4 linked regions of the Arabidopsis thaliana genome follow. The protein of the gene in region 2 interacts with the protein of the main gene of each other region in a pairwise test. Each region holds a gene or a part of one and is shown on either strand. Other genes may lie near its edges.

Evidence for each region.
Region 1: the proteins of SAD2 (region 2) and MYB4 interact in a two-hybrid assay, tested with the Arabidopsis thaliana proteins (one study listed by BioGRID).
Region 3: the proteins of SAD2 (region 2) and MYB32 interact in a two-hybrid assay, tested with the Arabidopsis thaliana proteins (one study listed by BioGRID).
Region 4: the proteins of SAD2 (region 2) and MYB7 interact in a two-hybrid assay, tested with the Arabidopsis thaliana proteins (one study listed by BioGRID).

What each region holds. Positions count from the first base shown.
Region 1 is NC_003075.7:18,051,348-18,056,617, reverse strand, and holds MYB4 (myb domain protein 4), read right to left. Parts: upstream 3,259-5,270; 5' UTR 2,753-3,258; coding exon 2,490-2,752; intron 2,328-2,489; coding exon 1,742-2,327; 3' UTR 1,578-1,741; downstream 1-1,577. UniProt on the Arabidopsis thaliana protein: Transcription repressor involved in regulation of protection against UV. Mediates transcriptional repression of CYP73A5, the gene encoding trans-cinnamate 4-monooxygenase, thereby regulating the accumulation of the UV-protectant compound sinapoylmalate.
Region 2 is NC_003071.7:13,461,978-13,468,249, reverse strand, and holds the start of SAD2 (ARM repeat superfamily protein), read right to left. Parts: upstream 3,957-6,272; 5' UTR 3,732-3,956; coding exon 3,639-3,731; intron 3,332-3,638; coding exon 3,196-3,331; intron 3,113-3,195; coding exon 3,016-3,112; intron 2,650-3,015; coding exon 2,500-2,649; intron 2,106-2,499; coding exon 1,943-2,105; intron 1,802-1,942; coding exon 1,617-1,801; intron 1,545-1,616; coding exon 1,371-1,544; intron 1,153-1,370; coding exon 1,007-1,152; intron 925-1,006; coding exon 801-924; intron 720-800; coding exon 539-719; intron 279-538; coding exon 119-278; intron 1-118. Other genes in the region: ATX1 (homologue of trithorax), read left to right, coding at 6,069-6,272.
Region 3 is NC_003075.7:16,660,099-16,665,103, forward strand, and holds MYB32 (myb domain protein 32), read right to left. Parts: upstream 2,452-5,005; 5' UTR 2,192-2,451; coding exon 1,929-2,191; intron 1,834-1,928; coding exon 1,272-1,833; 3' UTR 1,003-1,271; downstream 1-1,002. Other genes in the region: APX3 (ascorbate peroxidase 3), read right to left, coding at 4,909-5,005.
Region 4 is NC_003071.7:7,254,252-7,259,241, forward strand, and holds MYB7 (myb domain protein 7), read right to left. Parts: upstream 2,581-4,990; 5' UTR 2,300-2,580; coding exon 2,037-2,299; intron 1,965-2,036; coding exon 1,418-1,964; 3' UTR 1,222-1,417; downstream 1-1,221. UniProt on the Arabidopsis thaliana protein: Transcription factor involved in the negative regulation of flavonol biosynthesis.

The sequences.
Region 1 (5,270 bases), on a different chromosome or scaffold from region 2:
ACATAAAAAAAAAGAAAGAAGAAAAACTGATAGAAGCTTCTATTGCATCTACCTAACACCTTTTGAAAAAGTCGTTTCTTTACAAATGAAAATGAATAATATTAGAAAGAAGAAGGAAGAGGAGGCAGGTGCGTCTGTCTTTGTTCACTTGTGTCTGTGTGTGTGGTCATCCTTTTGTCCTTTTCCCCTTTTTCCTTATCTTCAGTTCTCACCACTCCTCCTCTCCCATCTCTTTCATTTCCAAAATATCATCCTCCTCTATCAACTTCTACATGTTTTTTTTTGTTATTCCTTCACTTTCATAATATTTACCCAACCACTGTTAAATCTCGATGTTCGAAATTAATCAAACGTTCTCAACTTTATTTTAGACTTCAACTGATTTTGTTTTTTTTTCCAACTTTAAATTTGTTTCATTAGTTGATGCAACCTGAGAAAACTCTTATTGATTCCATTATTGTTGAGTTTGTATCTTCATCAGAATATGATATATATCAAGCCCCAGTGCTAGTGACAACAACTTGTCATTTGGTGATCATATAATTTCTCAAGTGATTATACCAGTTTTTGAGATCTTACCAATTTTTGGCCAAAACAAAAAAACAAACACACAACTGGAGTATATAACCATTTGATCAATTTTAAAACTAAATCTAAATATATACGAGGAAATAATATACTGCTCTATTGGGATTTGAGATGATAATTAATGTAGTAGCTAGAGAGGGTTTTTGTAGTGTTGAGGAGAGGATATCAACGAAGGAACATGTACAACACCGATTTTACCAAGCATCTTACGATAGAACAATGTTTAAGTTTACGAGTCGCTACTCTTTCTAAATTCAACCATGTGGCTACATTCAATGAAACTCCTATACATAATTTTTATATGCATGCATGCATAAATATATTATGTGGTATATGGATATACAGTATATGTATGTTATGCATTCATGTGTAATATGTATGTATGTATGTATGTATGTATGTATGTATGCAGATGTAGATCGCTTGCAAGTGGACAAAAGATGAGGAAAGGTTGGTATATAGGTTGGTAGGGAGATGGGTAGTGAGAAATAAATAGAGTTTGGTAGAAGAAAGGGTCCATTGGTTGTTGCTTCCTTTCCTTCATTTATGGTTTTCATTATTTTCTTTTTCTTTTTCACATATCTCTTTCTTTCCTTTTTTTATCTTAAAAACATTTAAGTTTTCTCCTACCTCCTTCTCTTACAACTTTTCTATTCCTGCCAAATTAACTACAAACCTCACTTTCCACTTGTCATGAAACATTTTCGATTTATCTTCTGTTTCACGTTCTTCTCCTAGATCTTTAATTATAGATCTTAACAAGGTATCATCTATACCAGTACAATCTAAGTATTATGTGATCAAGTATCTTTGCCATACTCGTAATCTTTTTTCTCCTTATTTGGCTTATCTCCAACATTGGATAACGAGTTATTTGGGCAACCAACCTAATCTTACCTCATAAACTGATAATCTTAATCGTATACAAATTAATTACAATAGAGCTATACGATCTAATGATCTATATTTTTATCACCGATCGTCTAGATCCGGTATTTAATATTTATGCCAATGGAGTTAATTTGTAAAAGAGAAAAAAAAACAAATTCTATATATTATAATTCACCAGTTAAATTTCTCATACAAGTTGAAGATATACTTTCAAATTATCTAGGCAAAAGTTTTGTACAGTTACGCCTAAAATTTGACAATATTATTTCATCTCCAAGCTTCGAAAGCCCAAAAGAGAAGTGGTCTCTTTCTTTGCCAACCCTAAAAAATCAAATCCATTGCTCATGTCACTCCCCTTGCTGCTACCTCCGACTACATCGCATCTCATTCTTCCGCATCTGCACTCCATGCCGTTTATCATCCCTAAGCTGCACTTGAAACAACGTGGCGTTGTTGACTTTCCATGCCCTTGAAGACGATCAACATCATCAGGAAGACTGATTCTGAGCTCAAGATTCAAATCTGGGAACTTTTCTTGAACTGGGCACTCATCTTTTTCTTCTTTGAACGTAAGCATTGAGATTTTCTCTGATTTTCCCGGAAAGCTTATACTTTCATGGAACGTTTCGACCTTTGGAGCAGAAGTGAATGAGATATTAATGGTATTACTCGTAACTGGTTCTAGTTGTGTAGGTTTAGAATCTTGAGAAGCTGATGATTCTTGGATTGGTCTATGACTCGTTGGATCAATCCCTCTGTTTATAAGCTTTCTTCGTATATGCGTGTTCCAATAGTTCTTTATCTCGTTATCTGTTCTTCCCGGTAATCTCCCGGCAATAAGCGACCATCTATATATCATCAACAAAAAATAACATCATTTAGATAGATTGAAAACTCCAAGATTTTCATTTTGTATAAATTAAAACGATACTAGTTTTTTTTGTTTTTTTTTGGGTATAAACGATACTAGCTAGTTAAATAAGCCCATATTTAGAGAGTATAGTACTCACTTGTTGCCAAGAAGGCTATGGAGCTTGATGATGAGTTCGTCTTCTTCCTCGGTGAAGTTTCCACGCTTAAGGTCAGGCCGGAGATAGTTGATCCACCGGAGACGGCAGCTCTTGCCACAGCGAAGAAGTCCGGCGGCTTTGGGGAGAGATCTCCAGCAGCCTTCTCCATGAGCTTTAATGTAGGCGACGAGCCTCTCGTCCTCTTCTTTCGTCCATGCTCCTTTGTTTGTGTGAGCTTTCTCACAGCACGGTGACCTTCCCATACTTTTATGTTTACTTTCTTTCTTGTGGTTTAGATCTTATTTCGTCTCAAAATCTTATATATAGGCAGATCAATTCTACTTGTTATTTTATATTGAGGGATTGGCTTTTAGCGAGGGTTTTGGCTAAAAGGGTATAAAGGGATTAAGTTGTTTTTTTGTGTAGTGGAAGAGGATTGAAGCATTTGGTGGGGCACTTGGATTTTGGGTTTGGTTGAAGGTTCAAAGCTTTGGTGTATAGTTTATATAGGGTTTTGACTTAAAGCTAGAGAGGAATATACACACATATATATATATACACAAATGCTTCTAGATGATAGAAAAGGAGAGAGAAAGAGAGTTGAACTTATAATTGCTTCTAGATGTGAGTTGGTGGGATGGATTTGAATGAGTAGTGTATGGTGGCCTTTCGTTTTGGTACAATAAGTGAGAAGCTTGACATATATGGCATCATAGTCTTTTGATAAAGCTATGACATTTTTTTAATAATCATGACAACAAATTTAATATTTCTCACTTAAATATATATATATATATATATATGTAATCAAAGAAATTTCTCGTGTTCGTATATACATAAACCAAAATTATTTAGCTACTTCTTTAATTTTTTTTCTTTCTTTTTTTACTTTGCAACAAGTTTTATTTAGTACAAAATATAAACCAACTCTGTCAAGAAATTAATCAATACATGACAATTCGAGTATTCGACTGTGTACATTTATTGACAAATCGTCTTTTAACTTCGACCGATTTAGTACAAACAGTAATTTATTTTTATTTTTTTGGAGTCTCTTACCTATCGTATGAATTAAGTTTGTAGTAAAACTTAGGCGGGTGAAAATTAATGTAGAAAACCTAAAATTCAGTAAAACAAAAAGTTTGTGAATGGCTTTTATCGCCAGATATTATAGGTCACAAGTAAAAATTTGGGTCTAACAAAGGAAGGGGAAACTTGAATAATTTGGTAGCAATAACGAAGAGAAGATATAATGAAGTAGTGGAGGTAGGTGGTAAAGTTAATGAGTGTTTTTTGGACAAGTGCAGGTCAACTATATAGCCTATGAGGTTTTTGTTGTACTGGTCAACAGTCTTTTCTCTAATATATAGACTGCACTGGATTAGTTATTGTTTTTTTAATCAATAATATATCTAGAACTTAACCCTAATACAATCACTTGCTAATTAAACAAAGCATTATCAAATAACTAATTATATGTGTGGGCAGGATAACTTGTAACTTATATATGGTTTTCAAATTACTCTCACCAAATGACAAGCACTTCATGTTTAAAATATTTGTGATGATGCTCATGTTTCTTTAATATTTCAGTATAAAAACAATACAACAAGAACCACCATGACACATACATATAAATTAGAAATATACATATATGATAAACTATTTGAATTAAAGAATGTGCCTTCTAGAACCTTGACTTAGAATGGTTTTCTCTAACCAACTTCTATTTCTTTCATATTAGAGACTTGAAAAATCAAGACTTATTAAGAGATATTTTTTTAATAATGTTGAACTCTAACTGGACGGAATATTATTATAGCACTAATCGTATCTATATTTTTAGAATACGATCGACAACACTAATCATATACGTATGTAGTAATTCGTATGTCAGGAGAATAGTTGAAGAATAGAACACATAACAGTATATAGGAGAGAATAATTAAACTATAGTATCTACTGTGTACTGTCCATGTATGCTAAACAAAAAAAGTTGAACTTAATTGTGAAATTTGGTAAGTTAGGTGGAAAATGTGAGAAGAAACGAAAAAGAATAATGGTTTATTGAAAAAGATGAAAAAACCGAAAAAGAGAGAGAGAGAGAGAGAGAGTAGTTGAATTTCAATTTGTTTAATCTATTGGTACAAAATCACTCACCTCATGCATGATGATGGCCCTCTTCTAGAAGGTTAGGTTCTTAGCTAAAGGCCAAGATTCTTCAATTCATCAACAAAAGTTTACGTCCATTTACATCTGAATCAAAATTAAACCCCAATCAGTCAGTTTTTCACATTCACTATTTATACCCAATTAACTTATTTACTGCTCTTTCTTTTTTCTTGCAACTAAATTGTAAGAGACAAATTCGTAATATTGTTTTATGAAAAACCAAATGCAGCAACACTACATGCAAAACGTTTTTTAACATCATGGGAGAATAATAGTTCTCCAGGTGAATTATTCTCTCTGTTGTTTTTTTTTGTTTTTTTGTTTTAGGAATAATATGTTATTACTTGTTAGTAGTACTACTAATGGGATTGTAAATGACGTGGAGGAAATAGCGATGTGCTATAATATAAAAGCAAAACTTGTGTCACAAATATAATATAGAAGCGAAATCACAATGTACTGATTAATTTGGCATTTTCTTTAAGTAAATATACTGATATTAAAAAAGAGTAGGATAATTATATTATTTAGGTTGCTGCCAAAAACAAAAAAAAACTATATATTATTTAGGTCCGTATGCGGTTGGGACGTGGGATTTGGTTCACCTTC
Region 2 (6,272 bases):
CCAGAAAGTTTTAATTAGCCACAACATTAACCCAGCACACAATCAAAAAGCCAACACACAGGTAAACAAGTGCAAACACATTCACGCATATAAAAATGCGTAGGCGGAAATCACATACCCTTGCACGCCTCAACAAATGAACGCAATGCAAAAACTGAATCAACACGAACAGGGAGATCAGGATCGCGCAGTCCCGAAACAACACTGTGCAATGCTTTACGAAAGTTGTTCTGATCTGAGAAATTGATGTGTGCATATTGCCCAGCTACCCATGCAGCCTACATCCAAAAAAATGCAACCGTCAAACAGATCAAAGGAGATCACAAAGAATATGACATCAAATACTGGGTAACAACGGGAAGTCTATACTAAACTATCGACAGCAATGCAGTAGCCAACTAAGCAACAATGCTAAGCGTTCTAGAATAAATTGAAGTACAACAGACTTCGTGGAAATGCAAAACAAAATCCTCATTCCGGTAAGCTAGTAACAATGGATTACTGAGATATCCACAACACAGATTAAAGCCAAAAATACCTTTGCTCTAAGATGTCCAACTGGACTATTGAAATCAGGAAAAATATGTTGCACCAACATTAGCTCTAGTTGAGATTTATAGGGATCCGTTTGCTTCAATTTGTCACAAAGAGCTCCAACAGCCAGCATCGCACCATCTTTTTGGCGATAAGGCTTCTCCTCTACAGTAGCTTTTTCATAACTACAAACAGTGGACAAACAAGTTGTCAATAAAACACAACTGATATGAAAAGTTCCAAGCAGAAGAGCTCAAATGTAATACCTCAAGAAGATCTCAACGACAAACTTAACAAACTTCGGAAGGTTTTCTTTCCCACGTTTTCGAACCAACTCATTTACAAAATCCATGGACGCTGTTCGCGGACTGTACAAGTCTTCAATGATATCTACAGCACAACAAATAACATTACAAATGATGATTTTAAGAATTAAGACTTTTTAAGAAAGTCATTATTATGTAGTACTTACTGTAACCTTTCCTCACATATTCATGAGGGTCTTCCTCCCAAAGCTTTTGATCATTATCATTAAAGCACATTAGAGGGAAAACAATCTCAAAAAGCAGAACATCCAGCCGAGGCAGAAGCAACTTGTACATGCTATTCTTCGAAATGCTGCAGAAACAACGAATTAGTTTCAACGAATTTTTTTTTACAAAACATCTAAACCTCTAAGAGTTTTCTAATTAATTCCAAGAACTTAAAATTCAGTGACCAAAAAAAAATTTTATAATGTCAGAGAAAAGATGATACTTAAGTTAGCCAAGTGGGGATACTGAATGTGTACATGTATGTACATGAAACTAATGTCTACAAGTGATTGTAACACAAACCTGTTGCTTAAGTACTGAAGGAGAAGATTGATAACTCTGTCAGGAAGATAGCCTCCAACACGAATTGTGTTCAAGAAATTTAGGTGGCCTTCCAAAATTCTGCCTGCATAATTCTTTTGAAACATTTGGGCGAAAGGTTTGTTTTCTGGACTTTGAAGTTTTGGATCTCCAAACCTGTTAAAGAATATTCTATAAACCTTTCAAGCGTACTTTCTTGTTAAAAAAATATTAATGTCAAAGACATACCGACTATAGAGCCTGTTTAAAATGTGCACTGTCCACTTCTTGACCTTCCACCAGCCCCAAGATTTTCTAAGTTCCGGATCCATAGGCTGACCTTCAACTGGAACAGGACGTTCCGAAACACTCAAGAACAGAACCATCCAGGCATTAAAGACGTTTAGATCAAATAATTGCCTTGGAAGCTCCAGCTGCCCACAGAGAACAGTAAAAAAGACATTAAACAGCTTAACTGGTTTGAATTGTGTTTTAAGGATATGCATATTATGTTAAGAAAGATAAAATGTGAAATTCCGCAGAGGCATATGTAACTGATCTCTCTAGCAACTTACATATATGGATGACCAAAATATTTTGCATATCAACTTCATAAGTTCTGCTATCTCCAGAGACGGATTTGGTATCTGGATAAGCCCATTAAAAATAGTCAAAAGTTGAGGAAATGTCTCCTCCACAATGCGGGAAACCGGTGTCCTCTCCTCATCTGACTTGAACCTAGAAAATAAAATCATGAAACATCATCAACGGGATATACTACTTAGGTGTCATCATATAAAGAGCAACTTGCATTTCTAGCTGGAAGTCGTCACATACTTGACAGGACATCATGAATTGACAGAGACACGAAAACCATTGTGTTCTAACAATACGTTTTAAACACTCTCATTTCTCCTGCCTAACACTTCTTTCCCTTCTCTTAATATTATCGGTTACCACCTAATTTTATTAGTCACTACTCAGTGTGATACATGCAAGACTCGAAATTGCGCTATTGCCACCAAAGATAATCTTGAAGATGTCTCAATAACGCATATCAAAAATTTCACTAACAAACCTTTAAATCATACACACAGACATAGGGATACGGAACAGAAAGTGGTGAACTTACTCATATTTTCTAGAGAGTATCCGCAACACAAACAAAGCCCCATAAATTTGTTGATTTTGCAAGTTGTACTTCACCCAATCCAGAAGACGTGGCCATTGTTCTGGGTAGTCAGCATAAATAATTGTCTTGAGAGACTCTCCAAGTTGTGATCTGGATAAGAAAATTAGGGGAAAAAAAAATTATGGTTGTTGTTGAGGCTTATAGAAGATGCTATTGGGACCAAGGTAATGAGAAAAAAATACTAACTTAAAAAAAAATCATCTTCTATCTGCCGTTTTTTAATATCTAGAACCTAAGGATAATGTAGAGACACATTCAAAGATGTATATATAAAAGAAGAGGACTATCAGCTTGAAGACAATCTATCAGACAAGATGATGAGCAATTTGTAGGCATGATTAGCCATACAGGTTACAAATATTTTCATAAAATCGCTTAAAATCAGACCACGTCAGACAGAGTTCAGCAAACCAAATGACTTGAATGATAATTCCAAAAGCTATCTGGCAAATTTACCTGAGTAAGGTTGGAACTTGGGTGACATAGACGAGAATATTGTCCCTCACCAATTCTTTGTCACTCTCAAATATCTGCTGCTGCCTTACTGCAGGACCTGCACCATCAAATATGCAAATTAATCTAAAGATCTTCCAAACGCTAAGCCGAGACAAGATAATTAGAATACAAAATTATTACCACAATCCTCAGGTGACCAGTTCTTAGCAATTAAATTTTTGAACTGAATACTAGCAATTTGACGCACTGCCATGTCACAATTTCCATCCACGGCTATCTGCAATAACCTCACCAAATGCTGGGGCGTGTGCTCCAACTGCAAGACAAAAGAATAACGAGAAACTCAGGCATCAGAAACTGCATAACTTTAATTGATCATTAGAAATAGTAAACACCACTGAAATCTGGCTACAGTGAATTAAAGCAAATAACGATTTGTTCAAAAAGAGTGGGAATCTTTGAACTATCTTCAGTAAAACCAGAAAGTGAACTTATAAGGAAACTCTATACATGAACTCAGCTCAAACTTTAAGATACTACTAGCAGAATAAGAACAATCAAACTCGCGACCAAGCAACCGTGTAAATACATCGAAAGAGAAATTGAAGTGGAAACTGAGAAACCTGATTGAGTTGCTGCTCAGAAACTTTACGCTCATCGGGAATAGGGCTAAGAGCGGCGGTTCGGAGGATCAAAGCGAGGCTATGCAGATCCATTCTCCGTGGAGTTTGAGAATCCGGACACTAAACAGAGTAAACCTTGATGACGATCAGAGGCAGTGGTTGATATTCGATTTGAAATTCCCAACCAAGAGAGAGAGCTGAATTAGAGGAGGGGAGAATCTCAGAAGAGCATGATAGGGTTTAAGAGGGACAAGAATGGCGGAGAAGAAGGAGAAGAAGATTTGATTGATAGTTGGCGAGAGTGGAGGAGAGGGACAAATAGAGCTGGACGATTTACAGTATTTAAATCCCTAGGGTTGTTTAACTAACCAAAACCACCCAATTTTGATTCTGATTGACCCGGGTCTTCTTTAGCCGGTTTATTCCGAACCGGGTCTTCTCTTACTAAATGACGTCACTGATTCTCTTACTAATTAAGTTCAGGTGAATTTGAGGGGAAAACAAATATTTTTGGACATGTATGTGTCTGAAAATGTGATTTTCCCTCTTTTTTTTTGATGAATATATAGTTTAAAATAAAAACTAACAAAGACATAAAAAAATGTTTTTCTCCTTTTAATCAAGTATGTATTATTTTATTTGTTCTGGTCATAATCCTAAGTGAGTGTGGTTGGTATTTTGATGAAAATTTAAAATTGTTCATTCCATAATATTTATGTCCAAGTATATATGGACGTAAATCATGTAAGCGATGATGAATCCCAATGTTAGATGACATCAAAGAATTTTGTGACCATAGGCCATATGTGTTGTGTAAATTTTGTGGGTATCTAGAGAAAGCCAACCAACAAACGCTATATGGATACTTTGACAATAAGTTCCATCCATCAGCTGCCAGTTTGTCCAAGTATCAAAATTTCATCCGAAAAGCTGATAAGCCGCCAATCTGCCCCAAGTATCTAGGAAACGACATATTCTAATGCCTAGTTGATGGGAAGAACTTTGGAGGTACACACATCACCTATCTTGAAGCTCATGAAAGCAAGTATTTTAACCTTACTTACTTTTAAATATATATGTCTCTAGCGTGTATAGCATCCCTATGTGGATCAATTTAGAGCACTAGTGAGCATTGTATGCTACCGCATAAGAAAATGCAACTACTGTTAACCATGATGATTACATCCTTATTAACATATATGACACACTGCAAAAGTCACTGGATGCGATCAAGTTAGCAGCGGTATTTTCCATGTGTCAAAAGCATACTAATATACTACAGTCAACCGTATATTGTTCTTTAGTTAAGTTAAGTAAAGACTACTCCTACTAGACAGATATTCGGTTTATGAATCCAAATCAAGTAATTGCTATGAATAGCCGTTCATTTAAGAATGAAGATAAGGGAAGTGAGTTGAAATGTTTCTTTTAACCTCATATCTTTACTTCAACTTATCACACCTTAAAAACTGGATTAGAGTTCCACTTGTCCGATTCATAGAAAAAATCTTGTATCTATCACAAAAATCTTTAACATATGTTTGATTATTTATCCACAAACTAAGCTTTTTAGGTTGAAATATTATATTATTCTAGAAAACTTCAGAACAATCCAAAACAAGTAATACCAAGGGAGCAAATCGTTGGAATTTCCTCACAAGAAAATTCTCTAGCTCATTTGAGAAAATAGGTAGTATTACTTGAAGAACCCCATTCAATAATTGAATTTATGAGCAATTCGGTTGATTTCTACCTTCATTCAAATTCTAGTCAATCTTGTCTTTTTGTTCCAATGGAATTTAATTTGGATTAACCAGAAAAATATGTCTTATACACTATACTTAACAGACTAAAAACCCAAAAATATACGTATGAACTGAAAAAAAACAAAACAAATTCCATGTAGTGAAGATTACACAAAAACTGGTAAACAACAATTATCTGAAAACAAAACTATATAAAAGAATCAGAGACTCTTGTTGAATTTTGCCCAAAAAAAAAAGACTCTTGTTGAAAATAAAATACATGACAACCGGGATTTTTTTTTTCTACAAGTGGAATTTTTATTTATTTTATTTTTAGTTTTATATGTTTTTATTAACCAGATATTAATTTTTATATACATACACACACACACTATATATGAATGTATGTATGCGGAGATATATAAGGAGACAGAGCAATAGATCTGAAAGACTTGTCATCATCTTAATAAACCCGGCGGGAAACGTAAAAAAGCCTTTTAGCTTCTCCCTCCAAAGGATCTGTTTTTTTCCCTTTTTCTCTGATTCTTCTTCCTAAACCCTAATTTCTCCAATCCACGAAATTCCCTAGCAATTTTTTTGGGGGTTTAGTGAAAGAAGGATAGAGAGAGTGAGCAAAGGTGTCTCCTTTACGAAGCCCTGTGCTTTCTCCCTCCGAATAATCTCCATGGCGTGTTTTTCTAACGAAACCCAGATCGAAATTGATGTCCACGATCTAGTGGAAGCTCCGATTCGCTACGATTCTATTGAGAGTATCTACTCTATTCCTTCATCGGCATTGTGCTGTGTTAATGCCGTTGGTTCTCACAGTCTGATGTCTAAGAAGGTTAAGGCCCAGAAGCTTCCGATGATTGAGCAATTCGAGATTGAA
Region 3 (5,005 bases), on a different chromosome or scaffold from region 2:
AATACTATTTTATGTTTCTCAGAGATTAGGATAATATAGGTTTTACACAGATGGGCATGCCACCAACCCAGTCGCATATCCCAATGTTGAAAAGCCCATTTGATGCATTGGGCTACTCATACTAGGCCATTTATTTTGATAGGCTGAATTTATTGTTTTGGACTTCAACCAAGTTTTGTATATCATGCAGAAGTCAACTTGTATGATTTGTTTTATTCGTTTTGAGTTCTAGCTTACTTACATCATTCTGATTTGCGGTTCAAATCTATTTGAATTAATTTGATAGTCAGTAAAAGCTTACAGGTAGTTTGTGTCGATTTATGGTGTGTTTACTGTTTAGTAGGCGTCACCAAAATTTAAGTACAAACTATACATTGAAAGCTAATTCGGACTGTTTACAGAATTCCTCTCCATATTTTGTTGCTCATATAGGTTATCCTAATCTTGAGTTTACATTTTGCACTTTATTATATATGAAAATATCCATCAAGTAGGTCAAAGCAATATAACTCATATATCTATTTTGATATCGTTCAATCTTTGATATATGTCTCAATATACATTTCTTGAAATTTCGTATCTTTAACACTATCACATGTAGAAGAACCTAATTATGCCCACTAGCCTGATACTAAACTAAACTCCAAAGTTTTAGGTTGATGTCCGTTGTTTTACATAAACAAACATTTGGAAAAAACCAAACCACACTAGTTAAGTTCTTATATGTATATATTTGTATAGTTTTGGAAATAAGGTGAGTGACTTTTGTTTAATATAGTGAACAACACATTAATGTGATAAAGACATTTTACCAACACAGTGAATGCTTTGAATTAGTACTAAAAATAATCAAACGAAATATGCCAAAAGGTTGCAATGAATAGAAAACATGTACACTTTCAATCGTTCTCACGCTTCTCATCCTTACACAGCTTATCCACTTCATTGATATGTCCAATCTCTTGGGAATAACCATCGACATACATTTGTCAAACATTGGTTGGATTATCGAGTAAAATTCTAGAAATATACCAAGGATCGAATTTGAATGCATATGTCTTGTCAGCAAAGCATTACACCCATGCGACACTTACAAATGGCGAACATTTTCGCATCTTTTTAGTAGATTATCAAATATGACGACAGATCCTAACAACTATGATATGAATAAAATTACTAGTTATTAGAAAAGTTGAGAACCATGAACGAGTCTGTTAATAGCTTTTATATCACAATTCACAGCTATAAATTGATTAATATAGTATTTCATTTCATTTCATTTCCAAAGTGCTAAAATCCAAAACCCTAGTGTTGTTTAGACCCAAGAAGTCATAACCAATGCTACTACTAATGTCGGTTGAAGAATAACTGCTGCTACTACTGTCCTCTGTTTGACATTTCACATTATTACAGCTACACTCCTTGCCGTTCCCGAATCCAAAACGGCACGCACTGCACCTATACTTCACTCTCCCAAACCTTAGGTTCCTCTCATCATGGAGCTTGTCTTGCCATGGTGGACTGATCCTAAGCTCAAGATTCAAGTCCAGACATCTTTCTTCAACAACTGAGTACTCAACTCTCTTTTGAATTCTCTCGTCCCCGAAATTTGCTATTTTCTCCAGCTGAGGACCAAAAGAGAGAATCTTGACAAGAGGGTCCTCTGTTTTACTAGAATCAGACGAATCTTGAGAAGTTTTGGTCTCGTTGATAGGTCGATGAGTCGCCGGATCAATCCCTTTTCTTAATAGCTTCCTCTTAACATGTGTGTTCCAGTAATTCTTAATCTCGTTATCTGTTCTTCCTGGTAATCTCGTCGCAATAAGAGACCACCTGATAGAAGAAAAAAAAAACAGAGTTTAAAAAACAGAGCTTTTTAACATAACAGAGGATAGTAAAAAAAACAGAGGAGTTGTTTTGTGACTCACTTGTTACCGAGAAGGCTATGTAGTTTGATGATGAGATCATCTTCTTCGAGGGTGAAGTTACCCCTCTTGAGATCAGGTCGGAGATAGTTAATCCATCGGAGACGACAGCTTTTTCCGCAACGTTGAAGACCGGCGGATCTAGGAAGAGAACGCCAACAACCTTCACCGTGAGCTTTGATGTAAGAGATGAGCTTATCGTCTTCTTCCTTAGTCCAAGCTCCTTTGTTTGTGTGGTCTTTCTCACAGCAAGGAGACCTTCCCATCTTTCTTCTTCTGATTCTTGTGATGAAGAAATTAGGGCTTTATGGAGAGACGGTTTGAGAAAGAGAGAGAGAGAGAGAGGTTGGAAGAGGAAGGTGAAGCCTAATTTGTTTCTAGAAGAGAGTTGGTAAGACACGTTTGAAGGAGTGGCTAGTGGGCTCCGTTCTCTTTTTTCTTTTTAATCTAAGATTAAATTGTGTTTTTGTTTGTTTGTATCAAAACTAGAAACTGCAACATTCACACGATCGTGTTCGCAGTTTCAATGAGAAAACGCTATATGGCTTTTATGGTTTTTTCAAACCTGAGTCTAGTTGTCTACTTATTTACTTATTAGCCTAGTTGTAGGTGTGAAACCATAATTATGAATGGCGACATGCGTTTTGTTGGTGATTTTAGCAATAGAAACTGTGATCAATATTTCACATTTCCTAAAGAAACTTTTCAAACTTTACCAAATTTAATCATATTATATTTAAGTAGTTAGATAGGTGAAAATTTGGTTCATCTTGTTTTTTTCTATATTTTAGTTTCATTAATAACGTAAGAAAAAAAAAATCATCGAGTTTGTTCGATATGATTTTATATCGCAAATAATAAATTTGTTTGAGCTAGGGTTGTAAAAACAAAAGTAGAGGATATATTTACATTAAAGTAAATAGTTATAAGGATTTTGTTTTTGGACAAAGTTGGATGGTTTCGTACTGCAACGAATTTAATTCAAATTATGGACATTTATGTTACAATGGAAAATAGTATATATTTGCCATAGTGAGTTTGGTAAGGAGGTTGTAAAGGGCATCCAAATGACCAAATTAAGTATATTCAAATCAGTATAAAGATAAATTCGTTAGAATTTCTAAAGAAAAAAGGAGAACATGTTAGTTTGATAATTTTTTTGGTTAATCAAAAGTTTGGAGGATTAATCTAGAAGACACAAACAAGGTTGGTTTTGAGGGAAAGTTAATTTCATTTTTGGGTACGGTTTGGTGTAGATTTGGCTGCAATATGGGGAGTGGTTCGTGACCTTCCACTTTATCCTACTTCCTTTAAGAAGTGTTAAAACATATCTCAACAAATCGTTTCGTATATATAAGAACTATTCAGATAATGTATCAACCGTTTAAATTTTAATATCCATTTTCTCTTCACCAAAGTAGTGAGATATAGCATTATATAAGTAAAACCTACATCCTATACTAATATTTAGCTACGCGCTATATGATAATTACTTGTGAGTAATTAACACAAAATCAGGAGTTCCTACAATCGGTGAAACCTCACGTGGAGTTTGTAATGTAATGAAAATGGAGAGTGCATTTCTACCTGCTTTCTCCTTCTTCCATTAATGATTTGCCCTAACACGTGACCTTTTTACTTTCTCAACTACCATTTTACCAATCTCTTAATTAATTCCTTATCTTCTTTTCCATCAATTCAAGGTTTCTTATTTATCGTAACGACCAACTAATTCTTAGAAAAAAATCATAGTTTCTTGAGAAACGCTTTTCGTAAGCTAGCTTATCATTTGAATTGATATCTATGAATTTATCCGACGTATCTATGTTCTTGACAAGTTACAAAGACCATGGCCTACAAAATATTCAAGAATTTTGCTGTCATCACGAGCTAATTAAGCTAATATCAGTATATATGAAAATACGACGACTCTAAGAAAAACATTCGTGAAATGCTTTTGTAAATAGGTAAGGGGATATTTTGAAATAAGTATCGATAAAAACATATCGAATAATGATTGTGGTTTTTATTCTTGTTTGGAGTTCTTTATTTGGAAAAGGGAAAAAGCTTTATTGGTGAAAGTTTGTTTGATACCTGAAAGACAATCTTAAAAGAGTTTGGTAGATTTCATGGTGTACATTTACTCTGAACTCCTACCGACATATTTGTATATTTAATAACGAAGAAAATAGAAATGGGATAGAATTGACATGTGATTTGTTATCTACACACACACCAAACAAATCTTAAAAAAATAGGTACATTATACGACTTTTAGAATGTATACAAAGTGCAACATGTAACATATATTTCCTAATTATTAAAAATGTATGGTTTATTTATTTAAACTACTTACAAGTTACAAAACCTTCGTTCTTGCCAAATTTAGAAGACATGCGTTTCTTTCTTTTAGTTTCTTATATAAGTTATTGTTAGGTGATTTCACATTCTGTTAAAATACAGTACACTTCTTTTACGTAACAACAATTCTTTTATGTCAACTTGAATAAAGCTATTTGCTACTTTGCGTCCATTACATGTCATCCCGAGCCTATATTTAGGTAACTGGCAACCAACATCATATATTATCTTCTTTAATGAAAATACGAAAGCAAAAAAAAATTTAATTTTAATTTCTTAGTAGAAGTTTCCTACCTAACTAAACCTACCACTACCAGGTTAGGTCAAGTTTCAGGTTATGTCCCCACTTTGGTAGATATCGACCGATCTTTGTTTCTTTCTTTTTTCTTTTTCTTTGGTACTAATTAATAAGTGAAACGAACATTGCAATGAACAAATATCGCAAAAATGAATCACGGACCCAAAATATTGACTTTTTAACTTTTTTACTACTAAACAGTAGAATCGTGGATTCAAAGAGTTTAGAATCTTGTAGCAGCAAAATAGATTCGATAGACGATTAATAGTTTCTTTAATACCCAAATAAGAGCATCGTTGCTTCGTGTTTTACTTCCTATTTCGTTTACTTCATCCTCTTCCGGATCTCGTAAAAGTAACCAAATGCCACAACCGCAGCAGCAACTGCAACCCCGAACGCACTCTGTGCCAGAATCGTGCTG
Region 4 (4,990 bases), 6.2 Mb from region 2:
ATTTTAATATTATTCCGCCTGAAATGTATCCAAATTTGCTTTGCACCGCACGTTTTCATTCGGACTCTAACTTGATTAGCTAGGTCATGTTTTTGAGTCAAATTTCTTATTATGCCCGAGAAGATTTTAAACACTTCTTATTTGCCATCCATCTTTATAATTATATATGGGTTATATATCACTAATGCACATATCTCCCTTCATGTGTTTCATAGCGATAAATAGACCCTCCTGTCTAAAATTGACATTTCCCACAATCATTAGTCAACCTGCAGTTCGTGTGATCTAAATTGACCTGTCGGGTCCTTGATATTGTGTAACCTAGTGTATCTACGTGAGACACTCTGATTTTTACATATTTTTCATGTGATATTAGTAGATCTATTTAGTTTGAAGAAGTCCTATGTACCCTACTGAAATAATGTAAATTATTTTGTATAAGATTTATTATAAACTTTTATTTGCTAAAATCCTACGGAAGTCTTTAAAATATATAGTAATGACTTGAAACATGTACCATCCAACCACTTCTCATCCTCACACAACTTATCATCACCTACTTCAAAAATCTCAAGTTTCTAGAAGTAAGCATAGTGAAAATAAATAAATAGTAAGAATTTAATTAATAGGATAGTCCCCTAATCTCTATAGAAAATTAAGCATTTTTGTCATTTAAAATGTTCACTATATGGCCAACCACGATCAAAATCAAGTAAAAGGATATTAATTCTCGTTGTGAATTTTATTATAAATTATGAATGATTTTTTTTTTTTTTTTTTTTTTTTTTGAGGTGTGCAAAGAATTTTCTTTTGATATGAAACAAGAAATGCTTTTTCGGGTAAACCTTTCTCTTAAAGTAATTAAATTGTTATAACCTTGACTGGTTTCCTCATATTATTGGTCAATTAAAGATATATTTTACACCATACACTAATTTCTCTTTTACGTAACACATGGATGGTTAAAAAATTTAAGAATTGGTCAGAAGCTTGATGAAGCAAACCGGATCAAAAAATGATTGAAAAAAGAATTTGACATGACTACAAGACCTATTAACTGTTAGATACAAACGAAATCATTTTTCATTTTTCAAATGAATAAGGGTATAGACGTTAAATCCTATCGTATATTATAACTAGATTTAGGAATTTATAAGTTCTAAATCCTATCGTAGGTCGGAGAGCTAATTAGTCTACATGATGCCTGATGGCAAATTCACGTGTGGATCTCTATCAAAATGCTCATCGATCTCATAGGAACACAAGGTCTTGCGGTAATCTGATTGAAAATTTCAAGTTAATATACAAATGTTGTGGAAAAAAGGAAAACAAAGATGAAAAAAAAATAGAAAGAAGCAAAATTAAGAATCTAACATTCATTATCACACCTACAAATTAAGAATCTAATACTATTCATTTATTTCATTTCCAAGCTTCGAAAATCCAAAATTCTTGTCTTCAAACCCAAGAAGTCATAACCAACGTTACTACTACTAATATCAATAGAAGAATAGCTAATGCTGCTACTATTCTCTGTTTGACATTTCACAGTTTCACTACTACACTCCATGTCGTTTTCCATGTAAAAACGGGACGCAGTGCAAGTAGATATTTCTCTCTGGTTTTGCCATGGTGGACTGATCCTAAGCTCAAGATTCAAATCTGGGCCTATTTTTTCTTCAACAACAACTCTCTCTTCTTTGCAAACTAACCCATTTCGAATATACTTATTTTGCTTCTGGTCCCCAGACTTGTCTGTTTCCTCAAACTTTGTCACAAAAGAAACATCTTTTACAATTTGGTCCTTTGTTTTCTTCAAATCAGAAATTTTTGCCTCGTTGATCCCTCTATGAGTGGCTGGATCAATCCCTTTGCTCAAAAGCTTCCTCTTTATATGTGTGTTCCAGTAGTTCTTGATCTCGTTATCTGTTCTTCCAGGTAATCTCGCCGCAATCAAAGACCACCTAATAAAAAAACAGAGGATAAGTTTCAAGAAACAGAGCATAAGCTATATAAAACAGAGCATAGGGGCTTACTTGTTGCCTAGGAGGCTATGAAGCTTGATGATAAGTTCATCTTCATCATGTGTAAAGTTTCCTCTTTTGAGATCAGGTCGGAGATAGTTAATCCACCGAAGACGGCAGCTTTTACCGCAGCGAAGGAGACCAGCGGCTCTAGGAAGAGATCGCCAACAACCTTCACCGTGAGACTTGATGTAAGAGACTAGTCTCTCATCTTCTTCTTTAGTCCAAGCACCTTTGTTCATGTGTTCTTTCTCGCAGCAAGGAGATCTTCCCATGACTCTCTTCTTCTGATGATGATGATGCTTTTGATTCTGTTGTTGAGGGTTTTATGGAGAGAGAAGGGGAGAGAGGTGTTGGAGGTGGAAGGTGAGCCTAATTGCTTCTAGAAGAGAGTTGGTAGGACACGTTTGAAGGAGTGGCTGGTGGGGCTCTTGATTTTTGTTTAATCTTTTATTCTACATCAAACTATAACTGCCACATTCATATTATTTATTCAATATTTTATACCTTTCTCTTCTTGATTTTCCTTTGATGTTTTAGATCTCATAACCATTATTATTCACAATTTTTGTTTTCCTTTCAACCATCAAATCTTAACATATGAAATGCTACAAAATTGCGGTTTAACAAAACACTAGCTTTGATCGTTTTAATAATAACCAGACCCGGCCCAACATAAATTTGAGTCTTAGGGTAAATGTTTGCTTTTTTTTGGACCTTTTGTTAGGTAAAACTTTTTTTGGGCATCTTTTGCAATTATTTTGAAGTATATCTTGAGTGTTTTAACATTTTACAAAAATATTGGCTCTTTGGTATATAAAAGTCATTTAGAAATAAAATCAGGGCCTTTTAATATATATTTTAAAGAAATTTGGGGATTTTATCAATTATATTTTGACAACTTTTTTTTCCAAAAAATAAAAAACTTTTTCTTATGTAAATTTTTTTAAATAGGCATAAGGTTTGGACCGTCGCACTTTCGCTCCACCCTAATGAGTCGAGCCTGATTATAATAAATAAAAGCTTTATCATATATATTACTCTCAGAGTCTTAATGGAAACATGCAGTTCAACTGCGGATAAAGTGCGGTGCAGTTCAAATAATAACAAATATATATATATATATATGCAGAGAATTTTATTAATGTGCGATTCGGTCACCATTCGAATTTTTTTCGTGACTCATACCCCTATTTTATACTGTTTTTAACTATTATTGAATTACTTATGATTTTTTACTCGTTCAAAAACTTGTACAGGTTTGTATTAATAATCGGATCCATTATACTTTTTCCTCCAAATATAGAAGTGAGCCGCTTTATTGTCAACTTTGAAATCTCCTACTACCATTTTTTTTTATTACCAAAAGTAGCTTTTTATTATTTCTTATCGTTATTATAAAAGTAAATATTTATCATCTTATGTTATATTCCGGATCTATAAGTACCGATAGTTTATTTTGACAGAAGAAAAATAGTGGATATATTGTAGGTTTGAATTTGCGGGATTAACATAATTTTATTTAGATACGATTCATATGAAAATGTTATTACTTGGAAGATCGACGAGAACAAATTATATTTAAAAAAAAAAAAAAAAAAAAATATTTATGAATCTTCTACTCATGCATCTTTCAAGAACTTGGGTTGCTTTGCGGTTGACTTGTCTTCTGTCCACAGAACCTTTAAATTCGTCGTGAAAGTGTAGCATATGGTGCTGAACATAATGTTTTTCTAGCCAAAAAAAACACAATTTATTGGATCCGATTGGTAACCTATAAGAAAATACAAAGAGTAAAAATGAACATGATTAAAAAAGAATAAATAGAAAAAGAAAAAATTATAAAATAAAAATAAAAAGGAATGAGTGTAAAAGAAAAATAGAATAAATGTTATTGTAAATGATAACCCAAACATAAAATAAATAGTATAAAAATGAAAAAATAAATAAAATATTTTCTAAATTAAATATTAAATAAACATGGACGTTAAGAAAAAATATCAAACAAACGTGGAGGTTAAAAATTTAATTTTTAATTAATATATATTTAATTTTTTTTTCTGTTTATTCCTCATCAAATTTGGGAAAGAACAATTTTCTTCTACGATTCCTCAAAAAATAAGGAACGATTAAGAATAATGTGAGGTCCACATATAATAATTTGGAGAAAAAAATTACTGTTAAATGGTAAAAAAAAAGAAACATGTTGTTCCTGTCTATTGTTTTTGTAAAAATTGGTCACCAATCGGACCCATTAAAACTGAAAATGCATAGAAAAAAAAAAGAAAAAAAAAAAGTATTCCTAAATAATCAAAATTTTCACAATTGACTCAACCAAAGTGATAATAACGAGATGACAAGCTTCAATTTATTTATTTTGGTAAAATGCTTCAATTTATGTAATTGGTATTATCCTACATATTTTAAAGAAAATTGGCAAAATCTCATATTCCATTCCAAATTAAATAATCAAAAATTTCGTAAAGTTCACACCCTAGTCAAAATCTATTAACACCAACCATTGCACCGTTGAATTTTATTTTCTAACAATTGCAACCACGTGTCACCGATTTTTATCCTCAATATATATAAAAACACGAATACAAACAGATAAATACACACACAATAAAAAGATAGTAGGTGTTCTAGAATATCAATGTTATACCAAACTCATATATCACTATCATCTTGTTGGGACAAGCCCTATGTGCCCCCATACGTGACGCCTTGTGGAGGAATAGTCCAACTTCGTTTAATACAAAATTATTTATTATCATAACTCCAACTCTTCTTTTTCATTTTTCTAAATTCTAAATGATTGATTGATGGGTTCAAAAATGTATGTTGGATGAAAAGGTTATGTTTATTTAATTTAGTTGGTTGCGTTTTTTAGATTGCTTGTTCTAATATTGTTATACTTATTTAATGAATTAGTTAGGACAAGACTTAATTGATAAGTTAAATTA